Drosophila melanogaster: one gene and its partner. The protein of the gene in region 2 interacts with the protein of the main gene of each other region in a biochemical or structural test. Each region holds a gene or a part of one and is shown on either strand. Other genes may lie near its edges.

Region 1 (17,337 bases), on a different chromosome or scaffold from region 2:
CGCTCAAAGTGAACACTTTTCGGTTGCAAAAGCCCGACGCTTTCGAGTTATACCACGAACCCATTAACCGTAGTATAAGTCGAAAGCATTGTGTGCACTTCAGTCTTCAGGTTTGACCTTGAGTGTTATAATGAAAATAGTATTTTACTGAATAGGGGGAATGGGGAGCAGGTTAAAACCTATCTATATTTCCCCACAAAAAAATAAACATGTAATCCGCACAGAATATTATCTTTTGTAACAATTTCATATTTAAGTAAAAACTTGCTGACTCCTTGTGTCATCGGTTCTGAAGACTTGAAACAATTTGACAATGTAGAAAACAATATGTATATGCCCGACAAACTATTTTATACTTAAAAAAATTATCTAAATAATAAATTCTAAATTATCGGATTACAATTCAACTGTTTATATTTTTTTTTGTCTTGTGATTTGGATTGGATTTGGCTTAGGTTTTATTTGGGTAGGTTTTGGGTTTTGAATGCATTTCGAGTAAGGGTTTAGATAAGTATGATTCCATACCAAGTAGGCCTTTATAACGACTTCAGTGTCGGGCCTTAAGCTCTATGGCTTAGTACATTCGTTTTTCGTTACCGATTTCAAACAATTGAACTTGTAAAAATAAAAGTATTAAAGCTAACTAAAAATTTTAAGTATATACAACTGCCGCAGTAACGCAGGATACCAATAACCCATTGACGTAATGCATTCAGCCGGTAGGAGCAGTGGGCAAAGTGCGGGCTCAACACCCCGAGGTGGAGGACCCAACACCATCTCCGGGGCCACAGTGCGTTCCAAGTTAGCGGCACCTCTATCGACGCAGACGGCGGGAACACGGCGAACTGTTCACGGCGGAGCGGGCGATGGGGGAACCGATGCGGCTTGGAAGCAGACCGGTCGTCGCCTTGGCAAGCATAATCCACCTTCTCGGCTGGTCCAGCCCACGGTAGCCTCTTCGCTGAGGGCCAGCAGCAACAGGCAGACGGCCAAGCAGAAGTTCGAGAGAGCGAGAGGACATGAGAAGTCCAGATTAGTGGTGCCCTTGGCCAAGGACACCGAAACGGAAGTCAGGAAGCCAACGAAACAGCGTGTGATGTCGCAAGCGGCCAAACAGGCGGCACGGGATCGTCTCTGGCCCAGCAAACCGGCGGGCGTGGGTTTGAACTCGAATTTCCGCAAGAATAGGCAGCCAGTGCCAGAGGATTCCAATATTTTGCCGGATGTCGAGGAGGAGTCAGAATCGAAGGCGTCCAAGTCTCAGCAGCTACTGGAGACCGGCGTCCAGACGAATGAGTCTGAGATCCTCGATCATAAGCTAATCCTTGGCGAGGTGAAGATGGTATGCCCCTCCGCGCAGCTGGTCGATCAAATAGATCGGGAACGGCTCGAGCTTAAGGAGGAAAGAGAGCGACAATCATCGCGCAGGTTTGCTGCTCACGAGCAGCAGGAGGAACTGCATCTGGACGAACTGAAGGAGTTCTCGTTCCGGAATGCCGTGACCAAGAGGGCGCCCAAGAAGCCACCAACGCACCAGTACGCTCGCTATGATAATCAGTATCAGAACGTTTTCAAGTCCATGGACGATTTCTTCAGCCGGGTCCAAAACTCTATGCCCAAATCAGAGTCCGTGTCCACCATCCAGGATCGCATCAAGCGCAAGGAAGAGGAGCTGCTCAGGCTCTTCGACAACGTCGAGCTAAACGAATAATCTAAAAACTATAGGAAATTCTATATCAAATTGTCTGTGTCGTGCACGTAAAGTAGTAGTCCTTTTCAATTCAATGGTCATTTATGACTTTTAATGGGTGCTTGGGTTTTATGATATATGAGTGGTATGTTCTATAAAAAAAAAGAATTTTGGACTTCAAAACTGAGACTAACTGCCGATACAAATCAAGAATATATATATATATACGTTTAAGAACTGGTTATTTAGGTTATAACTTTGAGGCTTATTTTACTCCAACAACATTATATCGCCACTGTTTATGATCCAATAAAAGCCGTCTGAGCTAACTAATGGCTTGGAACCACACCTTTTGGGGAAAATTCAGCGTCAGCAAGTACACAGACATTAACTGAAGTCGTATTTAAATTGAGCTTAGCCAAGCGGCAATGGAGTGCCATACTAGCCAGGCCAGCACCAGCACCAGCACCAGCAGCTGACACTTTCTCTCTGGGCCGAAAGCGGGGTCAAGACGCTTTCATGACGGGCGGTTCTTCAGTCAACGCTGGCAACTGATCGCGCGAGCAATGGAAAATACGCCTCTCAAGTTTCCACACGAAATTCGCGATGTGGAGGAGTCCACCAATGCTGAGCTATTGGATCACTTCCATGGTATGTTTATAGCGCGCAAATGGCTTGTGATGCACCTAGTATATAAAAAATAAAAAAAAAAAAACAGGTGAGCGAACTGGCTTCGTTCAGGTCGGATCGGAGGGTTACTTCTTTCCGCACAAGTACAAGGACGAGGCCGAGCGGTACTACAACTTTGAGGCACGGCCGGATGACGTGTGGATAGCCACGGTGCCCAGATCGGGCACCACTTGGACGCAGGAGCTCATTTGGCTGGTGGCCAATGGGCTGGATTTTGAGCATGCCCAGGAGCGACCACTAACCGAACGCTTTCCATTCTTTGAGTGAGTGCTTGTCGCGCGATCCTATCTTAATTAAGTGAACTCCAACCGCCCTTAGATTTCCGCTCTTTGTGCATCCCAAAATTAAGGAAGAGCTGCAGGAGGAAAACCGAGACTCGGCTGAAGCTCTGGAGTTCATTGAGAAGATAGCTCGACCGGGTTACGAGGCTTTGAGCGAAATACCACGCTCGCAGCGACGGTTTATCAAAACGCATTTCCCCTTTTCTCTAATGCCGCCTAGTGTTCTCGAAAAGAAGTGCAAGGTGATCTATGTGGTTCGTGATCCCAAGGATGTTGCAGTTTCCTACTACCATTTGAACAGACTCTTCCGCACCCAAGGATACGTCGGAGATTTTGAGCGTTACTGGCATTATTTCCAAAACGGATTAAGTAAGTGATCCTTCGATGGAGTTGCCATCCTTAACCAACTATCTTTCAGATCCCTGGCTGCCCTATTACAGTCACGTTAAGGAGGCGCGGGAGCATGCCCATTTGTCCAATGTACTCTTTCTGCGCTACGAAGACATGTTGGCTGATCTGCCAGGTGCAATCAACAGCATAGCCAGCTTCTTAGAGTGTCCACCGAAACCCGAGGATATGGATAGGCTACTCGATCATCTGAGCATCAGAAGCTTCCGTGAGAACAAGTCCGTAAACATGCACGAAATGGCTTCCGTTGGCGTTCTCAACAAAGGAGAGGCAGGATTCGTGCGCAGCGGAGCCAAGACAGCGTATCAGCCGCAACAGGAGTTCGTGGAGAATCCGAAGCTTTTGAAGAGCGCCAACGAGTGGGTGGAACAGAATATTAAATCATTCAAGACCATATGAAATACCTGACTTTGTTGGCTATCTTTACTGGTGTTTTTCTTTTTTGGTTTTGAATTGAAACGGAACTAGACTATGACTAACGTATTTGCACATTGAAACTATCCACGCTCGCACTAGCGATCTGCTTGTGGATTTCGTTGACCTCCGCCTGGGTTAAGGTGCGCTCCATATGGCGATAAACAATGCGGAAGCACACGCTCGATTTCCCCGTTTTCGGGTGCTTAAACTTGTCCACCAGACTGATCTGTAAGAAAAGTAAAGTATATGAGAAATACTCGTAACATATGATACGTTTGGGATAGCTAAGACCAACCTGCTCCACCATATCACCAGCTACAGAGCGGACTAGATCGTAAAAGTCGTTCGGCGAGAAGCCGGCATCCACCTCAATGTCCTGGGGCAGCCAGAACGACAAGTCATTCGTGCACTGCGGATAGTGGGAGATGGGCTTGTACTTGGGCAGATTGTGCAGATCCTTTTCGCTAAACTGCGACAGAAAGCCACTGTCGTTCGACCAGAAGAGCCGGATGTCAGGTATATCGAACAGCACCATGGCCAGTCGCTCCAGGCCGACGCCAAAGGCGTAGCCAATCGATTGATGAACGCCCGATCTCTGCAGGATTTCGTGGCGCATGATGCCGCAGCCTAAGACCTCCAGCCAGTTGTCCTTGAAATAGATCTCCAGCTCCCAGGAGGGCTGGGTGAAGGGAAAATAGGTGTCCACCCATCTGTACTTGATGCGCGGCCCAAACAGATCCTTGGTCAGGCCAACCAGCACGTGCTTCATCTCGTGCTCCATCAACTTGACGGCCTCGAGCGTGTGGCAGGGCTGTTTGGTTTGGTCCATGAACTTGGATGAGGGCAGAATCAGCTTGGGGTCGGCCAGCGTACCCGACCACGTCTCTTCAAAGAGTTCCAGGCCAGGATTGCGCTCGAAAAGCTTGTCTTTGGTGACCAGCCGCACAGCGTCCGCCTGGTGGAATACCGGATAGTGGGTGCTATCGATTTCGTCCCGTCGATACACCTCGCCCACGACCAGAAAGTTGTCCAGCCCGCCCGAGATCAATTCCACCTGATGGGCGGTGGTGTGGGCGCGCAGCAGATGCTGCTGATTGATGTAATAGCAATCGGATTTCTGTCGACTCACATGATCGGCGGGAATTAGCAGATTGTCAAAGTTCTGCTGCACAGTAACCACCGGATTCATTTGATCATAGACGGAGAATAGTGGATTGCCCCTTTGGTTGCGATACGCTCCATAAAAGTAGTTTACGATCCTCTGGCGGATGATGGAAAGCGGGTGGTCCGTCTGCAGGTGCTTGTTGGCCCCCACGTAGGAGAGTATCTTGGGCGTTACGTTCGTCCATCCGTCGGTGGCGTACGTGCTTCCACTGACCTCCAGCTGCGGTGGCGATGACGGCGACTTCGCGGGCGCCGCACTGCTGGCCAGGCAGCGGGTGGACTTCAACCAGTGCCGTGCTCCCTGCACTCGAAGCGTCAGAAGCATATTGGAGGGACTTTATTGATTCGATGCAACTATTTATTGCATTTTTTGTTATAACTTGGAAGTTATGTTATGTTATCAGATGTTATGTTAACATATCGATAATTTTCTACAGCAGTCGCAAGGCTTCAGCAGCACGGACTGTGCTGTTAGGCGCACACTAACAGAGCTGTTGGATAACCACCTGGCGCCATCTGCCGGAAAGCGAAAGTGTTGAACAGAAATTGTATGAAATTGTATGAATTGAAATGTATTTTTTAAATCAAAACTAAAAATTGTGAATAAGTAATCAAATATTACAAATTCAAAGCAAAATACATAAAATATATTTTTAAGGGATGTCTTGAGTGAAAAGAAACCAAACTTAGTTGACTGCAAAACTTTGATTTGCCAAAATAACTTCTCTCCCAATTCAAAAACTTCAATTTTTAAAATTATATAATTTTTATTTATTTTTCTACAAACATCAACAGATTTGTTGTTCACCTATATCATACATGATGGCAGAGAAACGCGAATACAATGGACCCATTACAAAATTAGTTCATTAAATATGAGGTTGGGCTAAATTATTAAAGTTCATTTTTGAGATGCTTGCGTTGGTATCTTTTCTGTTTCTTTTCTAAATCATATCATATGAATGCTGGGGCTAAACTACATCAGTTCTGCTCTAGACCAGGGGATAGCTGGAGGCGCTAGCGATGCCGCACTGGTTCTCCTTGTTGCGCAGCATCTTGATGAAGCCCTTGTCGCCCCAGGTGGTGCCCCACGAGTTCTTCACCAGCCAGTAATCCTCGCCGGACTCGTCGGTGCCGAAGCCAACGACCAGCACACCGTGATCCAGATTCTGGGCATCACACTGCGGCTCGTTGTAGACGCCCTCCGAGTAGAACTGGAACGACTCGTGGGAGGCATCGATGGCGACGGAAACGGGACCAACGGTGGCCACAGCCTCGGCCATCTTCTTCTCATCACCCTGGGGAATATCGGTGAATCCACGATCGGTGGCTCCGACTGTGCCCTTGTTAAAGTGGCACGAGTCATCGATGGCCTCGTAGGGATAGGACTTCTCGGTATCGATGCCTCCATTATCCTTAATATAGCGGAAGGCATTGTCCATGAGACCGCCGTTGCATCCATTGTTGCCGTACTTGGTGGAGCAATCGACCAGATTCTGCTCGGACAGCGAGACGAGGACACCGGACTTGCGGAAATGCTGACCCTCGAGGGCGCCTGTGCTGGAGAAGGCCCAGCAGCTGCCGCAGTGTCCCTGATCCTTGACGGCGGTCACAGCTCCCTTGGTGCGCCAGTCCACAGATTTGGGCAGCGTCACATGAGCCGGCGAGATGAAGGTGACTCCCTTGAAGCTTTCATCGGCGGCACTGAAAGCGAATGCAAAGTTGAATATGTGCACATTATAATCCTTAACGATCCCAACTTACCGCAGTTGCTTGTGCAGAGTGTAGTTGAAGCCGTTCATCAGCTGACGGAATTCGTGGTGCAGCAAATCGGCGTACTTATTGACCGCCAGTTTGAAGCTCACCTTGCCCTCGGCGAATCGCTGGTTGTGCTTGGCAATCTTGTGCTTGTTCTCATTGAAGATCTTGAGGCGGAAACGCTCCTCGGTTTCATCCTGATAGTTCTTGCGGTGCTCCAGCTGCATAATGAAAAGTATTAGTATTAGTTAGATAATGCACTCTTATCAAAGGTAAGTGCTACTATCGATTGACTTTCGTGTACTTGTTTCAAGATAAGATAAAGCCAACCAAATGAAAAGTTAACTTTTTAGACGCATTTTTGGGAACTCTATTAAAAATCAAATAAAATGTTTTACGTAAAATGGATTTACGATCGCTGAGGCAAAAGTTCTTAATCTGCAGATTACACCTTATCACAGCGCCGTCAACCTGGCACGAGCGAAACGCTCTAGAGGAACGGCCACAGTAGCAAGCTCTATAAATCTATAAAACATGGTCATAAAATTGTGTTTAACGATTGCCCAACGACAGGAACTTGAAACGGGTGTTAATGTTCCAGGTAGTAAACAAACGAGCCAAACTGCAGGTAGGAATAGGAGAAGCGAGGCCAGCACGAGGAAATGCGCTCCATCTGCCTGCAGTGGTCCCGTGGATAAGAGACCTCCTCTCCCAGCTCGGGGTTGTTTGTTAGTCCGACCCGCATATTGACACAGCCACAGCACGAAAATAGCACGAACGCTAAACAAATGATAGCTATAAAGGGAATTGAAAGGCCAGGGCAAGAAGTCGACTAGGTTGCTATCCATTAGATTCGGCAAATGCCACTATATGGGGGTAGTTTTCGATTCAAAGTGAAATTTGTGAATAAAAATTGACTTCCTCTTGTCTGAATACCAAATTAGCGGCTTTGCATAGAATCGAAAAGTTTATGAAAGTTAAGTTAAGTATATAGAATTATTCAACAAAACTCATTATTACTGCTCACGAATATCCAAATAGCAAACATGCTAAACTGAAATGCATTTTCCAAAAGTGTTTATTGCTAAACTGGTTATTTTTTTGCGACTCTTCAACGCACTCAAAGTGGCATGTTTTCTCAGTGAAATATGGGTATAAACCCAAACCTAATCGCTTTTTAAGTGGCTCACCACAAGTCTTAGTAGATTTTGCAATATTCCAGGGTACTTGGCACATTGAACTGAACAGTCGAGTGGCGCTGTCATGTGAGAAACATGCATGTGTAATTACTTTTGGACATCAAAGCGGACCAGCATCAGCAATTGTCGCCCCAAATGGACCGGATGGGGTCCACTGGTCCGTGGTTGACTCCTATAATTGACATAATTGAATCGAATTCGAGTCTTGCAGCAAAATGAAACCCCGCCCGTTGTGATTTCGAGGGAGGAGGTGGTAACGGCAGAAAAGAGGCGCCTCCCGGCACACTGACCTATTGATTTTCCTTGCAAACGTCGTTGGTTCTCGTTGCCGCATGATAAAATTCACACATTTATTGTATACTTTTGTAGAAAATTTGAATTTGCGATATATGCAGATAGAGTTAACAACTTAAAAACACCGTAATTAAATGCACGTGCGATCCGATGTGATATCCAGGCACTCGACGTATACGTTTTGTATCTATCAATCTAGATATACTACATATGTGGCTTAGGAAACTTCGTTGCAGTTGAGAAGCTTGGACGATAGTAGTTGAGTATCAGAGAGCTTAGCTAGTGCGATCTCCATCCCTACAGTCGCTCCATCTCGATGGCACAGCTATCGTCCTCCTGATCCGCATCCGCATGCCGTTCCGTTGTCGAAGTGGCCGCATAGGAGGAATGTGGAACAGGTTGTTGTTGTTGCTGCAGCTCCTCCTCCTGGCATTTGTATTCCCGCCGCTTGCGCATAATGTAGGCGAAAACGAAGCCATTTATGACCAGCATGGCCAGGACAATTATCGTCGGCCAGACCACATCCACCGATACATCCAAATTATTTGCACTGGTATCGGTCATTCTTATGCTGTGATTGCTCCTCCGTGGTTTTTATGTAATTTATTTGCTATTACCGCCCGTCTCCCTGCGATTTCGTAGCACGTTTTTTACGATGACGCGCGTGCTTTTCCGTACTTCTACTACCACCGCTGGGGGCCCCGTCTGACTTGGCTCCTTTTATTTCTTTTCTCTCAAATGTTCTATATATTGCGCTCTGCACTGCTGCTGCTACTGCCTGCCGCTGGCTGCTCGAGCGTTCCGTTGGCGTGGAGCGTCGGTTCGGGAATAACAAAAATACGACAGAGCTGGCTGCTTCGCTTTTGGTGGTGGTGGTGGTGATGGTGGTGGTCCGCTCGCAAACGCAAACTCAATCGCATGACGGCGGGGCGAAAAAGAGCCGAGTTCACACACGCACACAACACACTCTACACTCTTTCTTCGTATCGCCGAAATCGAAATGAGAGCCCAATCTACGTAGGCCAACCAATTTGGAGGATGGCAGGCGGGCGTACTCTATATATTTCTTGTTTCTTATGCTTTTTCGTATATTTCCTTCTGTTTTGCAGCGCGCGCATTGTGGGTTTGCTCAAAAAGGCGAACCGGTTTCATTTTGATTTATAAGGATTTCAGGCGAGCTATTCAAATATGTTTGCTCCAACCGGTTAGCAGAAGTAACAGATTTAAAAAAAAACGAAAAAAAAAACAGAAACTTATGTATCTTTAATAAAAAATGTAAGAAAAGAGCCGCATGCTGCTTTTGCAAGTCAGCGAAATTTTTCCCAGCTTGTTTATTTACGGCAGCCGATTTGTTTGTGCACTTGTCACTCGGGGAATTAATGCTAGAAATCTCTTTCGGCTCTCGGAAATGCCAGCGAAAAATGGCAATTTGATAAGCAACGCCGATTTGTAGCGCGTCATTTCCAAAATGCTCGCGGCCCCCCGCACGACTTGTTCTTAAATATTGTTGTTGAATATTTGCCGAACTATGCGAATAGCTGCTTAAATTAAAACGCATTAATCTGGAATTTTAGAGCTTATCAGTGCCACAGTTGCTCAACGCTGACTTTTGCAGCTGTGCATTTGCAACCGACAACTGTGGCACTTTGGACTGCACACACATTACAGATAATGTCGTTTTTATTAACTAACTATAAGCAGTGAGAGCTAATGGTTGGCATCGTTATCACATTTAAATTGCGCGCCTTTCATTCCCCAAGCAAGCATGGGTAGCACTGTTTGCAGCAGTGTGACCGAGCGTTTGCAGTATTCTACATGACACCTAACGGTCTCGAAATGTAAAATGGCAAATGTAAAGTAATTGTGAGTTTATTTTGAAAAAAAAAAGAAAACTAAATCTAAACTAAATTAGATGATCAAAGAAAATTTAGTTAGGTAAATAATATATGAGTGGGGAAATTGCAAATGTTTAGTTGATTTTCTTTTTATTTTTAATTAAGGATGAGTAACTCTTTCCATAAATATGATTCCTATTCTTTCAGTTGATCAGACTTTGTTATTTATAAACAATAATTTAATACACCACTCTGTGCTTACTCTAACAAATGAGTCACTCAATTGAATATGATATTTAACAGCAGATAAAAAAAGGAAGGGAAATAAAGTTATATGCATATATTGCATATGCGGGTGCATTTGAATTTGAATTCGAAAAGTGAATATAAAACCATCAAAGGCAAAATATCCAAAGTTATTAAACCAATATGCATATATAGAGATGTACATATATCCCCCTTATCACATGAGATCTCTGCACAAACAGCTAATTATTATTTGTACGCCCCCATTTGGGGCTAATGACGCTTGGCACGGAACTATTCAGTAAAATAATGGAAAAAATCACGACCCCTGACTGTTGGCGATAAGAATTAGACGACACTAGGGGCGCATTCAATTAATCAATAGACAATCCACCATTGATAAGCAGACGAAGTTGCAAGTGAAGGCTGCGAGACAAAGGATGATTGGCCCAATCATCAATGGAACCATGGACACACATATATATGCAATAGAAGGGGGCAAAAATCGAAGTCGCATTAGGAAACATGGCTTGCGAAAAGTGTGATGGCAAATATGCGACCCGCGCCTTATCAGTCGGCCGGCAGTGGACCAGTTTGAGTCTTGCACGGCTTATCGGCGGGAAATGAACCGCGAGCGTAGCGAAAGTGGGCGACACAACGACTTGGATTATCTGCCCATCCAGCCGATGTTTACGGATGGGCTAAGCAAAGCAGCCCAGCTTGCCGCTTGCGGTCATGTGAGCCGGCATGTGACTGGACGACAGCCTAGACTTTTGGACTTATCTGAATCCTCCTTCCGTCTCTTTGAGGCAGCCGCGCAGCAGTGCATTCACACTCGCAATGGCTGCTGACTCAGAAGTCAGAAGTGCGGAATCGTCACAAACGGAAGAATGCCGCGCGTCCAACTATGCAAACAAAGTCGGACAGAAGACAAAGGCCCAAAAAAAAAATTAATGGATTAATCATCATTACACATCAAGCCCTTGTTACCGGAGAACACTTGTTATCTGCCTCTTCGGCCTGGCGAATTAAATATGATCCCTAGATGATCCGGTTGAAACTCACCTTGAACGTATGCCATTCCTCCATGACCACGTCGGCGAAGGAAACGGCCTGAGCCACCGCCAGCAGGGCCAAAAGTGGCAGCAAAACAGCTGTGCGCATTGTGATTTGTTCTGGAATCTGCAAGAAATCACACAATTAGTAAGCAAACTAACAATCGGAGTGTCGGTCACGTGAAGCCACTAAACCAGATTGCAAAATATCAGGGCTGGCTCACTAACTTCGAATTAAAGTAAAATACATATTCTAAGCTGCTCGAGCGATAAAGGAAAGTTGTGAATAAAGTCAGTTTCTTGCACTTGTTCATGATTCATACTATTAAATTGTGGTTAATTAGCATAATTTGTGCTATTAAAGTATTAGTTTTATCTTAGCAACTTTGTCATGAGCCTAAGCAATATTTTAATAAATTTCTAACGATCAAAATCACTGCAAAATATTTAATATTTATTGGGTAAAATATGGAATTTATTGCACCAAATTGCAATTTATTGCAAATTTATAATAAAAAAAAGGTTATTAATATTATTTATTTATTTGAGGCTAACTTAATGTATAAAACTATAAGCAATCTGAGATCTAGCAATAGAAGCTTTGTAAATATATTATTTTAATTCTTTATTAAATTCGTAACAGACATGGTTTTGAAAAACTAGTTTTTAAATATATCATTGTAAGCATAGAAAAGAGTGAAAATGAAAGAATAAATAACGGTTCAAATTTGAGAAATTTGATCCTTTAAAGAAGCTTCTCTCGATTTTAGCGTAAAATATTCTCTTTATAGAGACATAAAAATTATTTCTATAAAACTTGACTGATTTGCGGGGCGTTTGTAAATATATTGACATTTGCTTTGTGATAAACAATATAGTTTAATATTTGTTTTTTTTTATTTTTTCGATGGCGATGCGTTATCTTATCGGCCATTCCACTTTGCCTCGCAGCTTCGTATTGCTTTCAAAGTCTGCCATTTTTGCGCGATTTGCTTCACTTATTGTTTTTCTATCATTGTCTTGCTGTTTTTGCGCCCATTTTGAGAAACGTGAGAGGCATTTGATAAAAGTTGTTATTTACCAATTGTGCCCTCTGCGATTTGTGCCTAGTTCGAGGGCGAAAACGGGTTTCAAAAACGCCAAGGTGATTCATCTGGCTATCAGGTGAGTTAAAAACCACAAAGACTAGAAAAATGGGTCAGCACAAAGGGGAATTGGACAAAATCTAAACAAAGAAGCGCAACAGAATCTAAAGCGCAAAGCAAAAGGGGCAATAAAAACGGGCATAGACGAAGATGCCGACTGTTGATTATTGTGGAGTGCAATTAAAGTGTAAATAAGTCGCCACACAGACATGACGCAATTAGATTCAACAAGTCAATACGAAGCAATTAATCGGCATTAATGCAGGGCAGGTATATTTGCGTTCTCAACTCGAAAATAACTAAAAAGACTACATATATTGCTTACCACTCGGAATTGCGTCGCAAGGAATGCAGTAAATTCACTGATTTATCACTGTTGTTGCACTCTTTTTAATTGGCTGAAACAACACTAATGTGCAAGTCAACCGATTGTATTTAACAAGTCGCTCTTGATGATCCAGTCCCAAAGACCTTTCGTTGTTTAATGAAAACCAGCAGAAATTGTTTAAACAAGAAATCTCCGACAGAGTGACCAGTCCGAATCTTCTGGAAATACCAGAAGTTGCCTGAGCAGACGGCTTATCGATAACAGCGTGGGCAGTGATGCAGTTCTTGTGTGTAAAACGGCCAAATTCAGTCGCTAAATCGAAATAATTGGTCAGCCTAAATATATGCAAGAGCTTTTTAGTTTATGTTTATTTAATAATGAGTGTTAAATAACTAAAAACTATACCTCTCTTGTTACTTTTGCAATCGAAAGATTTCTAAGTCACTCAACGAACTCAATTTAAATTATACAACAAATGTCTAAACTGAATTTTGTTCAACAGTGTTTTGAAATACTAAATGTTAGAATTCACCCGTTGATGGTAACACTGCTGAGGTAAGAAGAAGACAAATTTTGCTCGTCATTGGGAATTGACGATTCACTGAATTTTTGATAAACTCAACAAAGTAAACGCATTATATATCCCGTAAGTAGTGCAGCGACTACTAATAACCCCAAACCGATCACGGCACCATAAAACACTTTCGAGTTATGCGCCAAAGAAAGTCGTAATTACAATACGTTCTTCATCCAATCTTCGCCAGCTCTCAAGAAGCACCCGCATCATGTTTGGAAGACAAAGTGGACTGGGTAGTTCCAGCAACAGCAGCAACCTGGTGGAGTTCCGCGCAGGTCGCATGAACATGGTGGGCAAGATGGTGCATCCGGATCCGCGCAAGGGCCTGGTCTACATGACCCAGAGTGACGATGGCCTGATGCACTTCTGCTGGAAGGATCGCACCTCCGGCAAGGTGGAGGACGATCTCATCGTCTTCCCCGATGACTTCGAGTACAAGCGCGTCGATCAGTGCAAGACGGGCCGTGTCTATGTGCTTAAGTTCAAGTCATCGACACGCCGCATGTTCTTCTGGATGCAGGAGCCCAAGACGGACAAGGACGACGAGCAGTGCCGCCGCATCAACGAGCTGCTGAACAACCCTCCATCCGCCCACCAGCGCGGCGGCGGCGGCAGCAACGACGGCGACCTCCAGTACATGCTCAACAACATGTCGCAGCAGCAGCTGATGCAGCTCTTCGGCGGCGTTGGCCAGATGGGTGGTCTCAGCTCGCTGCTGGGCCAAATGAAGTGAGCATTTAAACCCTTGCAGCCATAGTGTCCAAGAACTAGTCAAGTAGATAGCTTCTTAACTTACAGGGTATCGTTTTTATTGTTTATAAGCATGTAATCGAAGGAATGAAGCCAGAACTTGAGTTCACCCCCTTTTTCAATATTTTCCTTTCTATATTCTCCGCAGCTCCCGGACGCCCTCGTCGCGCAACACCTCCTCATCGGGTGGCGGTGGGGCATCGGCCTTGCAGACGCCCGAAAACGTCAGTGTGCCGCGCACTCCGAGCGCTCCATCGAAATCGGGCAGCAGCCGCAGCAGCAGCAATGTGAACTCGCAGGTCGGCGAAGGTGCCGGCTCCTCCGTTGATGCGGATGCCCCCGGTAAGAACTCAACCACATCGACCACAACGGCGTCAAAATCGACCGGAGCCTATGCCAATCCATTCCAAGCCTACTTATCCAATCTCTCCCCCGAACATGGCGCAGGACGATCCCTGAATATTGACCTATCGACGGCCCTACCCGGCGCCGATGCCATCAATCAGATAATTGCCGATCCGGAGCATGTCAAGACGCTGATCGTGCACCTGCCCGAGTCGGAGGATGTGGACGATGATCGCAAGCAGCAGATCAAGGACAATATCACCTCCCCGCAGTTCCAGCAGGCTCTGGCCCAGTTCTCCAGTGCCCTGCAATCGGCCCAGCTGGGACCTGTGATCAAGCAATTCGAGTTGTCCAACGAAGCAGTGGCCGCCGCCTTCTCTGGCAATCTAGAGGATTTTGTGCGTGCTCTGGAGAAGAGTCTGCCCCCCGGTGCCACCATGGGTGGCAAACCCTCCGCCAGCGAGAAGAAGGCCAGCGATCCCGAAACCCCAACTTCAGTGGCCCGCGATGAGAACACAGATCCCGCTACCGAAAAACAGGAGGAGAAGCAAAAGTAGCTTACGTGTGCGGCTTGGTAGTCATTGATATGGAATCCGAAAGCAAATTTTTTCATGTGCTGAGTGATTTTTGGATGCTAAATAAATTCAAATGGGAGTTAATCGGTAGTTATCTATCTAATTGTGTGTTTGATATACATCAAAACGGCTTATTAATTTATATTTAAAATATTACTACTTTAATAAAAGGATACGCGTTTTGGTAAGTACTCGTCCAGCTCTTTTCAGAATGCATCATTATACTCATTATACTTGGGTTTTTGGCTTACCTAATTTAATTTAAAAAAACAAAGTCTAACGTGTACAATTTATTTTAAATTTTGAAGTTAATAATGGGGGGATATATGGAAGTAACGGTAATATTAATCCCGACAAGGTCATTTTGTTGGTGTCCCCCTAACAAAAGCTCGCTGCCCCGCTCTCTCATCGCAACACACTGGTCGTCCCTTTCTGGCGCGAATTGCGCGCTCTCTCAGCGAGAGCCGTCTCACACAGATATATACACACACAGGCACACGCAACAATATTTATTTTATTCAATTCCAAAACGGCCAGCAAATAAGTTGTGTTTGTGCAAAACTCGCGCGTTCGCAATTTTCCGAAGCTGACTCTCAATTCTCATACATAACGATCTCAAGCGATCTCCGCCAGGCGAATCAAACCCGGATATATCCAGATCTGCAGTAATTGCCATATTTTTTCGCCAATTTTTGCGTTGCGGGCTGGATGTTTTTGTATCTGTTGTTGTTGGTGCTTTCATTTTGCAGCAATCTCTGTGCCTGTGTGTGTTTGTGTGTTGGTGCTTTTGGCGGACGTGAGAAGGTGTGTGTGTCTAGTGGCAGCCTGTATGTTTTTTTTTTGCATGACTGCTTCGCGGAGCTGTGGGGAAAGCTTTTCCCTCCAAAGTAGTTGTCATAAAAAAGTTAAAAGCCGCGGCAAAAACAAAAATCAAAGCAAACACAGAAAGCGCGAAGAGAGAGGGCAGTGAGACAGAGAGAGAGAGAGTCGAGTGCCTAACGCACACCGACAACCTTTGACTCACACGCACACACACGCGCGCTGTTAAACAGGCCTGGAAGCTTGCAAAAAATAAAACTAAATAAAATAGGAGCTGCTTAAGAGTGTGTGTTGTCAAATAGCAAAGTAAACAAAAAGCTCCCCGGACTCGCAATTTCATGCATATCTCCGGCGCAACGATCTGGCAACACTAACAACAACAGCAGCCGCACAAACTGCGTTTTAACCAATTCCATTTCCATTTCCTGCACTTATCTTTCTCGTTTCTTCCAATTAGCGCTGGAAAAGTAACGTCCGCAACGGTTTAAATCCAGTCGAGACGCAAACCCCACTCAACTCCTTAATGAGTTCCCCTCCATTAAACGGAATTCACCAAAAAAAACGATTGATTTGCCGCTGATAAAGCTGATAAAAGCGCACACACACACCAAAGTCAGCTGCAATTTTGCGATAAGGTAAGTACAAAATTATGAATCTTTCAATTTGCCGGCAAATGGAGGCTTCCAGAACAGCTGCAGGAGCTGCAAGTAAAATGGAAGTGCCCCAAAATAAAAAAAAAAAAAAAACAAAAATACAGGAAACCAAAACACTAATGGCGCCTGAGCATATGCTTTGGGAAATTTTCAAGAGCGCCAAGCGTGTGAGCGCGGGGGTGCGAGAGGGACGACCGTACAGACAGTGTTTATGTTTTGGTAGAAAGGTCACATCCTTAGCTTCCAATAGAACTTTCGTTCGTTAATATCCCCGCCATCCACGTCCCTCGCGAATTACGTCACGAATCGACGAAGAAGTTCGTGTCGACAGGTTTACATGCTCTTGAACTTTTAACAAACTAATAATACCCTTTTATACAGTTATTGCGATAGGATTATATGATCCAATCCTAAACCGATTAAAATCTTATCAAAACATTGGGGAGTTAAAATTTATATGAGTTACTAACTTATAACAAAAACCAGTAATTTAAAACCAATTTGTAAGGACTTATGCTATAATTAAACAAAGCTTTTTAACGTTTCTAGCGACATATTAAAAAAAGGTTTTATAAGTATAAAAAACTTATCGGTTTCAAAAACTTAAATTTGCTATGTTATTAATGCGCAAGCTCCAATTTGCAATCTTATGATCGAAGCTATAATACCTCGTTCGCAACTTCAAAATTTAAAAGTGGGTGGTGAAAGTTTTTACGACGTGACTCCTTCAAAACGGCTGGCGAACAGGCGGGGAGAAAGCTTGCAGCCTGACATTGAACTTGGGGGCACTCTGAACAGAATTCTATTAATCACAGGGTGCCGCAGCTTTTTGGGGCAACTTTCACCAACCATTTTTGCAGCTGCCACACTCCAACAGATTGTTGCCAGTTGCAGCCATCGATTTCGTCGCAAATACGTACATATTCACACATTTAGAGCGCGCCATTTCAAAACTTTAGCTCAAAGCTTGAACTGCACAGTGCACTTTCTTCCTTGCTCCCCCATTAGAATAAGACTTCAATTCATCTCAACAGCTGTCTTGGCAACAGAGAAGCTTTCTCCACTGCCTGTTGCATCCTTGTTGTCATTACAAGAATGCAGATGATCA
Region 2 (16,130 bases):
TTGACCTTGGCCAAGGTTTTTGTAATGCCTGTATGCCCTCCTTGTATTGGATCATCATGTAATGTAGACAATATAGCTTCTTTTTCTTTTTCATTATTTATTTGGGTCACCGGGTTAAGTAGCGCTACTTTTAAATTCTTTAATATTTTATTGCCCATATTTTTAAATTTATCTATTGAAACGTGTTCAAAGATTTTTTTCCACGGTGCCATTTTGATTTGGCTGATATCATATATACCGGCCTGCAATTCAAGCCTTTGGAGAAATTGATCTAAATCAAGAATTCCATTAGTATAAAGATCACCAACATCATATCTTGCAATAATTTTCTTTCCATGTTTAAATAAACATATCGAGTCATTCAATTGCAATGTCACTACTTTTCGTACCTCGTCATTTGTTATGACTTCGTATACGTTGGGCTCTGAAGCTATTTCTTTGGTTTGCTTTTGCAAATCCAATTGTTCTTTTCCTGCGCAGGATTTTTGTCTACTTTGAAATCTTGTAGTGACTTTTAATATATTTCCAGTTATATCTTTTAGCTCTTTGATGGTTATTCTTGATAACGCATCTGCTACATGATTGTCCTTGCCCTTTAGATACTCTACTGTAAAATTATATTCCTCTAGTTCAAGCCTTATTCTAGTTAATTTAGAGCTGGGGTTCACCATCGAGAATAAATATGTCAATGGTCTATGGTCTGTTTTCACAGTGAAATGTTTTCCGTAAATGTATGGTCTGAAATGTATTATTGCCCAATGAATTGCTGCTAACTCTTGTTCTGTTGTACTCTTATTGCTTTCACCTTTCGTAAAAGCTCTGGATGCATAAGCAACTGGGAGTTGGTGGCCATTATGGTTTTGAGTTAAAACTGCGCCACACGCTTGCTTGCTTGCATCTGTTGTTATGCAAAATTCTTTGCTGAAGTCTGGGTACTGCAAGAGTGTTGGGTTAATTAGCTGAGATTTTAAATGTATGAATGCTTTTTGACATTCATCTGTCCACTCGAATGGAACATTCTTTTTACATAATCTTGTTATGTGCCGCGAATAGTCGGCGAAATTTTTGATAAAACGTCTGTAGTAATTGCAAAATGCTACAAAACGTCTAGCGCTGTCCGCATCATGTGGAACTGGGTAGTTCTGAATGACATCATATTTTTTGTCATCCGGCAAAATTCCTTTGTCTGTGCATTTGTGTCCCAAAAATGTGACTTCATGCATGAAAAATGAACATTTTTCAGGATGTAACTTTAGGTTGTATTCCCTGCATTTACCAAAAACTTCAGTGAGGTTTTTAAGCATATGTTTTTCGGAACAACCTATGACTATTAAGTCATCCATATAAAGGAATGCTTGAGACGGTTCTATTCCGGAGAATGCTATAGTCATCATTCTTTGGAATGAATTAGGCGCTATTTTTAAGCCAAATGGCAATCGCGTGAAACGATATGAGCCATTGCTGGTTGAGAAAGATGTTATATCTCTCGAGCCTTCATCCAGTTCGATTTGATGAAAACCTGACATTAAATCAAGGCAGGAGAAATATTTTGCCCGACCAAGTTGGTCCAAAATATCATCTATTCTCGGTAGTGGAAATTTGTCAGCTAAAAGTTTCTTATTAATTTGGCGATAGTCTATTACTAATCTCCATTTCTTTTTATCAGAATTCGGGCTTGACTTTTTGGGTACTAATAGCAAAGGGCTATTGTACTGTGAAACTGATGGTTCAACTATTTTATCTTTTATTAATTTCTGAACTTGGGCTTGTATTTCTTCCACTTGACTATGAGGACTTCTATAATTTTTCGTGTATACTGGCTCATCATCTTTTAATCTCAACTGTTGTTTATACAAATTATTAACTGTTATAGGTTCTGATTCTAATGCAAATATATCTATATATTCGCTGCATATATTTTCTAATTGTGATTTAAACAATTCGGGGAAATTTTTCTTTAATTGAGATAAGACAGTTTTATTTCTGTGTTCACTATTTGCCTGAACTACATTGTAGTTCGAAAGTGGCTCATATTTTAGAGTGTCCATATTGACTAATTGGTCGGAATCGGTTGTATTTAAAATTCGGACAAATGTATTACTTGATGTTGCGATTGTATTTGCAACATAAATACCAGTTTGAATTTCCTGGTTTGGAATTAAAATGTTATCATCTTTTGATGATACTATTAATCTTCGGACAACTTGGGATCTTGCTGGTAATAACGTTGTGTTAATACCAGAGCTGTATGCTATGGGAATATATATTGGAAATTTCAAATTGTTTGGTCTAATTATAAACCAATCTTCTTCTTGGTTTAAATCGATTTGGCAATTATATTTTTTTATGAAATCTATTCCGATTATTCCATCACACGGTATTGGAAAGTTTTTATCTACTAAATGAAAATCGTGTGGGATAACGTATTTACCTGTCTGTATCTCAATAAAAGTCTGTCCTCGAGACTGAATTTTCTGTTGGCCTATGCCTTGAATGTTTATTTTATTGGTTATTTGAATATTAGAAAATTTGTCAGAGTTCTCTTTGAGAATAGAGATATCTGCACCTGTATCAAGTAGAAAAACTAGTTTTACGCCTGTTTTGGCATGAATGAATGTAGAAAATATGTTGAGATTATAATTGATGGTGTATACTCTACGATCTTCTTCTACTGAGTACCTAAAGGCTGTTGCGAGTTTCCCTGTTCTTGGATTACTCGTACATTGGCATTGTTTCTGTTGTAGTTGTTCTGACTGTTGTTACGGCCTCTGTTTCCATTATAACGGCCTCTGTTATAGCCATTATAACGGTTATTATTTCCATTATAGCGGTTTTGATAACCGTTATTCTGGTAACCGTTATTTTGGTAACCGTTATTTTGGTAACCGTTATGGTAGTTGCCTCTAATACTATTGTTATTAAAGCCTCTACCGCGGTTACTACCTCTATTGGCATTTCCGTATCCTCTATTGGGTCTGTTACCTCTAAAGTACATCACTTTATTGATGTCACCGGTAACTCTTGTACTCGTTCTTATGTATGCGCTTATCGCTGCATCCATAGTGGTGCAAGTCCCTGCTTCCAGTACTGTTTTGATACTTTCGTGCTCAGCACGATGTATCATGGTTTCAATTGCCTCTTTGGTGCTTAGACCAGTGGCATGTTCTAGAGGTATACCCTCATCGATATAGGAAGCTTCTAAAAGTTTTCTCAGGCTATCAACTTCAGCGGTAAATTGCGTTGCAGTTTTACCTCTCTGCTGAACTGTTGCTAGCTTTGCTTTGACATTACTGGATGTCTCACCGACAACTACTTTCTGCAATTTGTTTATAATTGCTGGAATTGTCGTTTCATTGTCAACTGAGTTCAAAATTGTGCCAACTATTTTTGACTTAATGACCTCAACTGCAATGTCTTCAAATGGTCCCTTAGCTAGGTCTACCAATTTGATTGCCTTAATGAATCTTTGTAAATGGATCTTTTGCCCATCAAATTCTGGCACTGTGCAGGCGACTTCCCTAATGTAAGACCTAATGGCAGCTGCTTCTTCTGCCATGGTTAAGTTATTTTCGGAGTCGGCTGCGTTATTTGTTTTATCGTCGTTCTTCAGCATTAATTTTGCTGGTATAGTTAGATCGTGAAGATCTTCCTCTTTAATGTCTTCCTTGACTATAGTCCTATCTTCCTCGTCAGAGTTAGTGCTGTCTTCATTCAAATTTATTCTTAGTGGGGTGTTTACTATGGTTGGAATTTCTATCTGGAGACTGAATTTATTTTTTATAAATATTAATTTTTCTCTTAATGTCACCAGTAGGTTCAAAGCCTTAGCACACTGTTTGCGTTCCAAATTCTTTCTATTTTGTTGGATCAACTCTCTGATTTCATTATAACTATTTACCAAGACTTGGGCATTCCTATTGATTGTTACAGCTTGTGTTGATCTGTTTTGCGTTAAGCACTTATAGGATTTTCTGAAATTTTCATTTTGATCTTTTATCTGATCAACAAGCTTTTCCCAGTCCATGCTGTGGTATACTCATAACTTCAAATTTATTCATTTGTATATATTTTTTTTTTAATGTAGATAAATTCAATATTACGTTTTATATTTTTTTTTTTATTTATTATTTTTTTTTTCATATAATTTTTCTCATATTTTCATTCATAATTGACTTTATTAAAGATCTTCCTTAAATATTATCTATACCGTTAGCAGTGCTACGGTATCGTTTCTTAAGACACTTGTTATGCAGTTTGTATATTTTTATTAATGCATTGGATACCATAATTAATGCAATTACAATTAGTATTATGGTTATCCAGAACAAGTCTGCATTTTGGACTTCTACTTTATTTATTACATTGGCTGTAGAGTCCACAGTTTTAGTGTCTATTAGACCCATTTTGGGTATACTAATTTTATATTTTGGAGAATAGAATAGAAAATTTCCTTTGTATATACTTTTATTTTCAGTTTTACTTATTTCATTTGTCTCTATAGACATTTATGTTTGGAATTATCTATTTATAAAATCTTTCAATGTTCGCAAGAGTAAAAAAAATTGTATTTTACATTGTTGCCTGCCTGATTCTAGCTATGGCTTCACGGGCCATATTGGGTTAACAGGGCATAATAGTATATGCTCCGTTTTACAATATTTCTTACAATTTTTCTTATCTATATATATTTTATATTTACTTTATATTTATATATATTTATTATTATATTCTGCTGTTGATGATGCTCATCAGGTGTCAGCTGGGCGTCGCCGGGGGTGGCACGCTGACACTCCCTCGCTGCTGTCTATTTGTTGGGTGTCAGCTGGGCGTCGCCGGGGGTGGCACGCTGACACTCCCTCGCTGCTGTCTATTTCTTCGCCGCTGAAGACGTCGATGGTCGCTCACAAGTCCCCAGGCAGTGGGGACTCCAGATTCCTTCGCAGCCAGGGGGGCAGGACTTCTTTGGTTTTGTTAATGCTGGTGCTGGTGCTGGACATGCCTGGTATTTTGGAACTTCATTAATTGTGGGTATATTTTTAATATTATCTGAGTGAGTTTTCTCGAGCTTATGGGTCTTTAATTCTTGCTGATATTGCAACAAGTGGTCTAGCTCTGCATGTAGCTTTAGAGCTTTCGACCAAACCGGTGGCGTTTGCTGACCGTATATTAGCCACCTTACGTGGGCTATACGTTTATTCAGCTTAGTTTTCAAACCGCCACGGTGTTTGCCCATACTCAATAGAACTCTACTCACTCAGATTTTTCCTTGGTTTTTGCAGTTCCATTTAATTAGTCCAGTCTTCTTCCAGTCCAGTGTTCCTTTGTTCCTTTGTTTTCACCAGCTTTGGTCAATTCGTCCAGCGTTGGACGACTGTCACGGTCGCCATGTAATGATGAACTCCAATTAAGAACACAAGTCCGTTTTAAGTTGAAGGCAGCCGTCGGGCTGACATATATTTATTCAATTTCTTCTTTTGATTTTAGAGTAGGCAGAAATGGTTCTGTCAGCTCAACGTCTACAGAGTCTCTCTGATTTTACAGTTTTTTATATATTTTGACTTAGGCTAATCCGCGTAGCTGCGCTGCCGGGTACGCCAGCAGCGGAGCGGCGTTCTTATGTATATCTTATATATCTAGGCTTATCGGGAGAGCGAGATATGTATGTACGTATGTAATATGTATTTGGTCGGCGTGTGAATGCTGACCATGCACTTATACTTTTTGCCTTCGAGTGGGTGATCATGTTACATCTGCCCTGGCCTAACTGCGTGCATAAACATAAACATAAACATAGCAACAAAGTGCTGCCATAAGTTAATATGCTATTTTATTTAATTGTTCTTAATATTGCATAGGCACATACTACACCACAGAATCGATGCCGCCGCGGGGGCTCAGATCAGTACAGTACATGCCTATATGATGATGTGAGTATTCGGGCCACTAATCTCTGATTACAATCAAGCAAATACCAAATTTAATCATCGATGACGGCTGTTCTTGGTTTAATTTTTTCGACCAGCCAAGGATTTTTAGAGTGGGAATTATGAGAGCAGTGTAAAGAGTTGTTTGTGTTTGGCCCTGACAGTGGGTAAGAATCGATCGATAATGCCAACTGATTTTAACTACCATATATCTATTAACAATACCTATTGTTTTATCTATCTACGCCTAAGTCAACACACTGTTCTACACACTTTTAAGTTATACACCACACACGACACACTCTGATAAGATATAAATTAAAACTAATCTTTATTGATCTAAGCGGAATGTAATAAAATTGCACTTGAATTATAGCTGAGTCAACGAGTTTCTTAAATTTCATTCGCAAGGGTTCATCAAAGTCATATTTTTGACTGGAAATCTTATAATCGTGCTATGCGAAGTATTCCTTTAAAGATACCTGGAATATCTGTTAACTCGATCAATAACAAGATAAAGGTAAGCCTAATGGGAACATATCAGTTTCAAATAGATAGTCTATGGTATAGTGAAACAATTCGGCAACATGGCCGGATGTACTTGCTTACAGATGCGTATGCCACAGCCCATCAAGAATTTATCTTTATCCTTTTCGCTTTCTATACCGTATAGAAACTATTAATAATTTATATTAACGCCATTAATATAGGACCCAAAATAAAACACAATTGTAAAGCTTGTTTTCTTCCATGAGAAGGCTTCTCGGTGTTGTTTTGTATTTTTTAATTTTGCTGTTACGTTGGAAAGGACTTTCTCTTGTATCCGTTTTTTTCTGCCCGATTTCTGGTTCCAAAAAAGAATTTACGTACAATTTTTGTCTTTTAAGTATAAATTTAAAATTAGGTTTTCATTCTTTGTTTAACAATTTCAATTGGCCCAAAAATAGATGTTTTTTTTTAATTTTAAAGCGTTACCAAAATCTGGTTGTTTGTTGTTTCTCCTTGTCTTGGTGTTAATTTGTTTGGCTGTGAAATCTGTGGTTACTGTGGTATTGGAAAAACCTTCTCATCCTCCCTCGCCACCAACATCCCTTTAAGGTCTGGTCATCGTTTCTACTCCTAACGCAAAACAGTCACTGCGGGATCCGCCTGGCGGCTGATTGATCCGCATTCAACTCTCTTTTTACAATATAATTTGATGGGTTTGGAAATTGAATTTGCAGATGATCATCAACATGATTGGAGTTTACAACTATAGTTATTATTTATACAACAAGTAGTTTCAATTTGGGTTTTTTGTTTTGAGTTTTTGGTTGCCTTGCTGAGTCGCAACCTTCTAAAATTTTGCACTATTAGATTGGATTTAATCTTATATAAAATTAATCGCTCTACAGTTTATATTATAAGTATTGTGTTGTGGTTTCTTTTTAGTATTCGATGGGTAAAAAATTATGCTCTCGACTTTGTTTAGTTTCCCTTAAAGACACATCTTAATTATTTCTATACATAATATAAAGTGTTTCTCATTTTATAAGTTTTGTTTTGTTTTGTTTGTTATGGTCTGTTAAACTTTTAAACACTGTATTCTTACGAAACTTACTTAACTAATCTGATTTGATTTATACTTGGATTTGTATTCCATATTACATCGTACAATAGTTGTTGCTTTTGCTGTTGATTTAATGCTTAAAATTAGACATTGAATTTGGCATTTATTGCGCATACTTGATAGTAATTAACATGATCTTATCTTTCCCCATAGAATTGTATAGTTATTTACAAACAATTTCTCGCCTGATTTGTTGTTTACGATTATGAAGACCACTTGCAGGAAGGACAGTGAATTGTAAATTAAATTAAAACCTTAGGAAATTTTGGATTGAATGTTGGAAAAATTCCTTAGAGCGTGCGCCTAAACTAAAGCTTTATAAACTTGTAAATGCTGGACTAGCTTTCAAAACAGAGGGCTGAACAAGAAGTGTCGTTGCTTAAAATGAAAAAAAAATCTATAGGGTACAGTTGGAAACTAATCATAGTTTGGCACTTGGCCGGCAGCTTTGAATTAATTTAGAAAATATAGATTATAATAACTAGGCGTATCTAAAGGGATGATGCGTGAAGTAACCTAAAAACTATATGTGTACGCGCCGTAGAACAAAATGTTTAACTTGAGTAATATATGAGAGAAGAGTACTAAGAGCTAGATTCACAGGAAACTGGACTTGATGATCATCACAAGTGTGCGGGTGTGTCATTGTTATTGTTTTTTGTTGTATGTGCTTATTCTTGTTTTAATGGATTGCAGTTGTTGCTGATGCTGCAGTTTGATTGCTGTTGTAAATGTTGGTGTTTGTGTTGTCGTTGTTTCAGTCCTTTGAGTGAATCGGTATCACATATTTATGTCCATACGGACTTTTGTACTTAATGCCACAATCACGATAGAATTTATCCGGTATACCTAGATTACATAAATACAATTTGCCACAATTGTTCGTTGATGCTGCTGATTTGGTAGCCGATGCTGCTGCCGAAGTGCTAGCAATGGGAGTTGGTGTGGCGGCAGCCGAAGAGGATGATGATGTTGTTGCTGTTGATATGCCATTTAATGGTAGTATGGGTAGTATTGAGTACTTGATAGCAACCTCATTAATGCCACACGGCGGCGGGTCTATGGCAAGCACCGAAGCGCTAAAAAATACGTATAACAGTAATTTACTTTCGACATTAAATGGGGTTCACTAACCGATTTACACTGAGCCATTTCCTGATCGCATCCGATAAATTAGCGGTGTTAGTTGATAATATCACAAGATCTGGCGTGGGTAAGGCTGAAAAATGTAAATAGCTCAGTAATCGATTATTTATATTTTTTATTATATTAGTAACCTACCGTCTACTGAGTGAACTATGACATTGTCGGTTGCCTTGAACAATGAAATCTCTGGGCTGCTGCTGTTCTGCTCCAGCAGTTTGGCCTGCTCCACGTACAGCAGGACAGTAAGCCCATGCGAAGCCAGCTGGCGACCTGTGGCTGCTCCAATGTTAATTGTTCTGAAAGGAATTATGTTAGTCACTGCCTTGAAGTTATGTCCATATACGTTTGATTAAATCACCTCATATTTTTGCCGCCATCGCAGATGATGGCAATCTTCGGCCACTGATGGTTGTTGGCCGGCGTCAATCGCCTGGCGCCGCCCAGCAGTGTAATGGCCAGATCACTGGCTCCGCGCGCCAAAATGTCGATCTGCCTCTGCAGAGAGAGGCCCGCCTTATCGGCACTTATCTCGATTTTATTCCGAACGTAAGCCGGAATCGTCGGTATAATGAGACCGTCGTCCGTCACAAAGTCCTGGCTGCCGCCGAACATGCTTTCGATCTGGCGCAATTGTAGTGGTTTGCTGGCCAGGATGTTCTCGTCGTGCCGATACTTCTGCTCTGGCTTATGATGATGATTGTTCACAATGTGCCGCACCACATCTGGTTTTTGGGTCGTCGACTCGATGTCGTCCCAAATTGCCTGCTTGTCGAACAGCGCTAGATTGCCCTCAAAATCGAAATCCTCGTGGATCAGCGGATCGTCCGCCTCGCTGCCAAAAGTCAGTTGCACCTGTTGCTGCCGCATGCTGCTCTCCCTTCGCACCCTGTTCCGCTTGTTCTTCCCGTTGCCGTTGCCATTTCCATTGGTATAAGAACCATTTCCGGTGCCATTTCCATTGTTATTGGCATTGCCATTCCTTCTTACATTTCCATTTGTATTCCCATAGCTCGAGGCTGCCGTCTGCTTGTAAAATCCATCTCCGTTGCTGACGATATCTATGGGTTTGCTGCTGCCCAACGACAAACCAGTTGCCTCGCCGCTATCTCCGCTGCTGCTGCAGTAACTCTCCCGGGTGTTGCTCACGTAGGAGCCCAGTTTCACCTCGACCTTCGGCGGTATCATGTTGCCAAAAAAGGCGGCCACGCTGTTGGGAGTCGTTGATATCTGCGGCTGCTGCTGAGCGCTGGACGCACGGGATGTTTGTGGTGTTCTGGATGACGAAACAAATATAAAAGTTAGATGAAACCTATTTTAAATACGACGCTCAGTTGGCACAAGACCTATCTGAAACGACTGTTGCTTTTTATCAGTAATAAAGGTAATTTACTCATTTCGTATCTCAAGGTTGGTAAGTTTAAACATAAAGATGGCTTCAAAATGAAATGAAATAAACACAATCGTGCTGACTGCAAAAATCTTCATACTTTTTTTTTTTATAAAGAGCTAACAATTAATTTAAATTATTGGCATTGCACAATCGTTTAATGGGCCATATTACCTAAGGGTGCCATTTGAGCCGTTGGTCTCGATTAGCTTCAGCTGATGCATCTTATCGCTTAGCGCCGAATTGAAGTTGCCACGTGGGCCCGAAGAACTCGATGCTCCGCCAGCCGCTACCCGTCCATTGTCGTTGGCCCTTGACCGCGGCGTCGATGGCAGATCCTGTTCTCGTTCCTGCTCCTGGAACTGCTGTTTCTGTTGCTGCTGGAGTTGTAGCTGCTGCTGCTGCTGCTGGAGTTGGAGCTGCTGCTGCTTGCCCAGGATGTTGGAGAAGTGGGGCAGCTTGACGGGCGTGGGCTTGTTGACCACTGGCGGCGGCGCCGTGTGCCCATCCAGATCTTGCTTTGCGGGCTCGATGAGATCGATGCTGCGAATGTCCGTGCACTTGAGGACCACCTCGGCGTTCTGCTTTCGCAGCGGCACGCCATTGCGGAAAGCCCTCACAATGGTGATCTCCTCGGCAGAAATCTGCTTGATCAGGCCCTGGAAGACGCCCAGGACCTCGTCGCAGGCTATAGACACTGCACAGCCGATCCAGTCTTGATCCGTCGGACCCATGTAATCAGTTTTCGATACTCCCTTTGCGAATGCGACAACACGTTGGATCGGCTTGTTCTGCCCTGGCTAATGGTTGTTCGAAATGTTTGCTGGCCCGCGCAGAGCTGCTTGTTGTTTTCGTTTCTAATACGCAATTTCGCCACTAACTAACTACGCACCACGCACCTCTCTTCCTCTTCTTCCTGCTGCTGCACCGCCGTTGATTCTAGTGTTTTGTGGCTTAAAGTCGGGTGTTTTTGAATTATTTGGCTCTGCGGTCAAGGGGTTCGGTATTTTGTCTCTTTTAATCAATAAATGCACCAACCGTTGCAACACATTGACGCTAAAACTTATTGGATTTCTCGTTTCATTGGGATTTTCACTGCTTGCGTGTGGCCGTTCGTTGGTGTTCAGATAATACCGAACAATACCCAAACTAGCTGCGTGGCAAATTAGTTTACTTAATAAATTTATAATAATATACATATTTATAATAACTACAAATTTCATGCTTTACGGAAACTTCACCTTATTTTGATAAATATTTGGTTCAATAAAAGCCTGCGAGCCATTTTATGAATTTAACAAGTGCTTCCCTTAACTGTTAAGGCTTCTGGGTGCTGTGGTATGTTCTCAGTGCGCGTACACGGTCACTCTGGCAGTTTTGTTCTCGATTTTGTCGCCGTTTTGTGCATTTTTCCCGTCCGGTGTTTAAATTTTATTTAATACTGCGCGTGCGACATATATACAGGCACCTATAGCCGACCGATATCGGCGATTAAGGCATGTGCGCCGCCGAAGCGGTCAAAGTGATAATCGCTTGAATAGTGAGCAGTGTAGAATTTGCCGTGTGATAGAAGTACGTGATGATTTTCCGCAAATAGTGGATAAAGGCGAGCCCACACGCATACCACCGCAAAATATATACATAAATCGGGCGAAAATATAGTGGCCCGTGTTTGTGCGTGTGTAAACGTAAGTGGAAAACTTGGGCGAAACTTTATGCTAACCATAAATGGTCTACAAAGACATGGCTTCGCGCCTGGCTAATTATCAAGAAAATGTTTGGCTTTTGTGCTCTATCACCCACACCTCATTCACACAACACACACACTAGAAACACGCTTGCACGGGGGCAGGGCGGCAGACAGAGATGGCATCTAGCACAAGTACCGTTGTTCACTTTGTTTGCTGTCTTTGTTGTCTGTTCGCTTTTCTTTCCTTCGCTTCTGTACACCCTTCCCCCTCTTGTTACCTTATGGCAGCCTCCTCTTCTTCTTCTTCGTGTCATTTATCGCTTAATTTGCACTTCCGCTTTGCACATATTCACCCTCTCTCCTTCCGTCATTCTTTCATTGCAGAAGCTTCTCTAAAAGAAACAAACAACAACAACACAACAATGTCGGCACGTTCCAGCGGCTTGGTGGCCGCGGCGGCCCTTCCCGTCCCGTCGTCTTCTTCCTCGGTGGCCGGCGGCGACGTGCCACGCCCGCCGCCCCGCCGGCGAGCGGCCTCTGTTGCGGGACAACAGCAAACGCGCCAGGAATTTGGAAATGGTTACACTCCTCGCAGATCGTTGGCAGCAGTGGTAAGTTTACATAAGTGCAGGTGACGACGAAAAGAGAGAGCTTTACCTTGAAGGACAACTTAGGAACTCTTCTAACATCTTAGGAATTTTGTAGGAGCACCTTATGGTTACAACCTTATTTCACAACGCATCCAACTCTGATTGAAAAATTTCATTCCATTTTTGATAAAGCCAGTTAACTAATTATGGGTTATATAAACGCGTATGTATCAAATTAAGTTATCATAACACCAAATAGTGACCGTGGCACCTATATGTTTATCAATTTTTAATAGATAGTAAGGTATTACTTACTATGACATCTTATAAGATACTCTTATCAATTGTTTTGGTTTCGTTGCAAACTGACTAATCAATAAATGTATCTCATTTTAAAGGGCATACCGAAATGTTGTCTTATCAAAACTAAGCCAACCAATTCCTATAACCTTTTATAAGGAATTGCCCACAATGTATCCACCATTTTGTTGGTGTGAAGATTTGAAAAGTATTTATCAACGGGTGGTGCTGGGGGATTTGGTCGCCCTTATCAGTGCCTCCGCTGTATTTAGTGTTTCCATTTTTACGATGTTTTCACTACTAATCTAATCTGCAGATTGCCAAACAGCTGAGTCGTGTAGATGGGCCATGTAGATTTCACTCCCCTCATGGATGATAAAGTGGGATATATGTATGGTGGGAAAAGTAGGGGATCTACAATTCCTTCAGAAGCCGAAAAGCACGAAAAACTTACGAACTGTTCTTATCCAATACCTAGCTTTTACGGTGTAAAGGTCGTTGCATTTCGTCAACCATTAAGTTAGATGTAGTTGTATTTCAGGAGTGACTTCCATAAGTCTTTTTTTAGGAGGGCCTTTAATACAGCACATTACATTTTATCGTTTAGTCATTGTTTGCTTGTACCAATTACTTTATAATGTTAAAGAAAAAGTAGCTTTTTTGCGGATTTTTTAAAATCGAATAACATTTCTTGACTTGCACTTTCCGAAGAGCAGAAAAGTGCCAAGAAAAGTATTAGGAAGCCGCCAGAAAATAAACTGGCATCATCGTTGTTTACTTAGTGTCTGGAATGGGCTTTTCTATTGTTTTGCTCACTTGTATAAACAAATAATTCGCTCGCCATCTCAGGCCGAACGGAAACTAAACTAATTTATTTATCTTAATTTGCCAAAGATGCTAGCCACTTGAGCAGTCATCGGCATCTTCGAAGCTAATTTAATTTATCAACACAATTCTTGGCCGCCGCCTCTTGAATGTTGTGTGTCTACACTTTATGGTTTTCTGGCTGCACAGAGAGAAAAATATTGTTTTAACTTTTAATACCTAGGCTATGTTTAATGGTTTATAAAAGTATTTTAATTTCTAACAGAACTCGCAGAATTATATTATTCATAGTTTCTAAACGTATTATGAACTGACATTTTGTTTTGTGTTTCTTTTACTTTCTTTTTTAGTATCCCAGTGTTGGTTGTTTGCTCTGTTTGCTTTCACTCAATGAGCGATTATTTGACGGCACTTCAATTCTGTTTGTCGAACTCATTGAAGCGTTGTCAGAATGGCTCGAAATTCCTGTCCAAAAAGTGGGAGGTGTATGAATGAATGGCTTATCTTCATTAGTGCTTTTTTTGCCGCAAAAGTTGTATGCCCCCGCTAATTGAGCTCTGTTATTTGGGTTATTTAATCCAATTTGCACGTCAGCCGGCAAGCGGTGACGTCGGCCAATCGACGCACTTGTAAGAACAGTCGACGTCACAATTGCCTTAGCGGATAGCCTTAATGGGCCGCTTATCAGTCAACAGCTGGTCAATTACATCCATTGAATCCATTGCGTCAGCAGTCAGAACATTCTCATGTCTATTATAAGTGATTATACGCTATTTAGCTGAACATTATTAATGGAATTGGAGGGATTCCCAGCCCAAAATACAAATTTCACACAGATACGCACGCACACATAGATAGTCCACTCACATCAACGCACGGCGCAGCCGATCAGCTGTTTTTGTTTTGTTTTGCTTAAAGACACTTGTTCGATGGCAGCTGTCAACAGTGGGAGTGAGAAAACGCGAGAGGAAGACAAAAAGAGTACAGGGCTAAGCTGTCATTTTAAAAAGCTTTCAGCCAACAGCTTGTAGCTGGGGCTTCAGTGTTGAAAAATGTGTTCAGTACTGTTTTGGTATTTTTTTTTTAAGATTAAAAACTTTCCTTTTTATGGTTAATTGGAGCACTTTTTGTGACAATTCATTAAAATATCTATGCATGAGTATTGCAAGTCCACTTCGTATTTTGCTTTTTAATATATTAATATTAGAATTTTTCCCGGAGAAGCCGACCATGAGGTAAATAATTTACTCCGTTCCATCGGTCACACTAGACCCAATGAAAGCTCCGCAATGGGGCAACCTCTTGGCCCGAACGCGCTGGCCACACTTTTCAGTGGAGCTGCCTTCATTTTAGCTTAGAACGCGAAAGCGCCAAGTTCCGTGTTTTGCGCTGCGGCTGCCGACAAGTGTTGCTGTTGCTGTTGCGCTCGCACCCACGACCGCACACACACTCGCTGCGGGAGCGAGCGAGAGAGGCAGACATTTACGCAGAACATGTTTTCGCAATAGTGTTGGTGTGCCGTTTGTTATTGTTGTTATTGTTTCCATCGTTTAGGGCCGTTAATAAAAGATAAATAAGTGAATAATTGAATTATAAATATTGTAGAGTGTACCGCCACACACACACAAATCGCTGGATTATATAGATAAATTTATTGCACAGTACCCCTGAAATGTGTTAATTATATAAAAAAAAAAGCAGTAAATAAGCGTACGTACCGTAAAGCAACAGTTCTCGCTCGGCACAATCGAGAAATCTCGAAATCACATCAAATGCAGAAGCATTTCCCCATTTCTTTCGCATTTTTCGCGGGGCCCTATTAGTCATACAGGGCAGAAAAAAAAGTTGGAATGTGAGCCTAATGCTGCCATGCCCCCTTTTGGCCCTAACCAACATTGCGTATTCGCAATAAACATAATAAAAACAAAACGGCAATTGTTGTGGAACCTGTTCCCTTTTTGTCGCCGTATGCAGCTTGCAGCTTAGCAAAAAGCAAAAAAATCAAAAAGCTCGTCGAGATACCAAAATAAATCGTGTGTGCGCCAAAACCGTGAAAATCAAGTAAAAAGAACGCAAAAAAGGCTGCAAGAATATGAAATTCCTTTTTGACCAACTCGTTTTGAGCAGTTAAAACCGCCAAACGCGGCCAATATTCTGATGCTCTGTGTGTTTGTTTATTTTATAACCCTCGCAATTTATTGTTCAATTTAGTTTGAGAGGCGTGCACGAAAATTAACACAAACGCGAAACGTAAACAGCGGAAGAAAAATCGGCAGTGAATAAAGTCCAAATCGGAGGCAAAACCAAATCCAAATCCCAATCCCAATCGCCATCAAAATAAAGTAAAAATGGCCGAGTCAACAACCACATCGCCATCGGTGACGAGCGAAGATGGCCAAATCCATGGCTGCAATAACAGTGATGTAAGTAACTGCCGAGAGCAGCGCCTCTCTTCTCTCTCGTCACTACGTGAAAATGGTACATATGCAAATGCTCGAGCCTCTGTGTGAGTGTGCTCATTTTCTTCGACCGCTAATTGAGCCGCCTTTGATGTGCCTCACGTGCAGCCCGGCCCTCTGCCCACCGCTCAGTAATCCTCTCTGCATTCTCCGCTAAATCTCTAGAGATTTTCCGGCTCAAGGCCTCCCCGGTTAATGAG

Evidence for each region.
Region 1: the proteins of Edc3 (region 2) and CtsL1 are reported together in a solved structure, tested with the Drosophila melanogaster proteins (one study listed by BioGRID).

The regions. Positions count from the first base shown.
Region 1 is NT_033778.4:13,956,047-13,973,383, reverse strand, and holds CtsL1 (cathepsin L1), read right to left. Parts: upstream 12,204-17,337; 5' UTR 12,191-12,203; coding exon 12,119-12,190; intron 11,165-12,118; coding exon 11,048-11,164; intron 8,732-11,047; exon of another isoform or gene 8,466-8,731; coding exon of another isoform or gene 8,199-8,465; exon of another isoform or gene 7,898-8,198; intron 7,780-7,897; exon of another isoform or gene 7,689-7,779; coding exon of another isoform or gene 7,599-7,688; intron 6,630-7,598; coding exon 6,415-6,629; intron 6,355-6,414; coding exon 5,643-6,354; 3' UTR 5,403-5,642; downstream 1-5,402. Other genes in the region: CG18568 (uncharacterized protein), read left to right, coding at 707-1,711; St4 (sulfotransferase 4), read left to right, coding at 2,257-2,341, 2,409-2,643, 2,699-3,030, 3,080-3,468; PheRS-m (Phenylalanyl-tRNA synthetase, mitochondrial), read right to left, coding at 3,545-3,712, 3,782-4,975; CG42806 (uncharacterized protein), read right to left, coding at 8,199-8,465; Rpn13 (regulatory particle non-ATPase 13), read left to right, coding at 13,296-13,816, 13,986-14,739. UniProt on the Drosophila melanogaster protein: Important for the overall degradation of proteins in lysosomes. Essential for adult male and female fertility. May play a role in digestion.
Region 2 is NT_037436.4:17,518,669-17,534,798, forward strand, and holds Edc3 (enhancer of decapping 3), read right to left. Parts: upstream 11,194-16,130; 5' UTR 10,801-11,193; coding exon 10,241-10,800; intron 10,173-10,240; exon of another isoform or gene 10,032-10,172; intron 9,953-10,031; coding exon 9,038-9,952; intron 8,976-9,037; coding exon 8,815-8,975; intron 8,753-8,814; coding exon 8,668-8,752; intron 8,613-8,667; coding exon 8,291-8,612; 3' UTR 6,665-8,290; downstream 1-6,664. Other genes in the region: Nedd4, read left to right, coding at 12,179-12,367. UniProt on the Drosophila melanogaster protein: In the process of mRNA degradation, may play a role in mRNA decapping.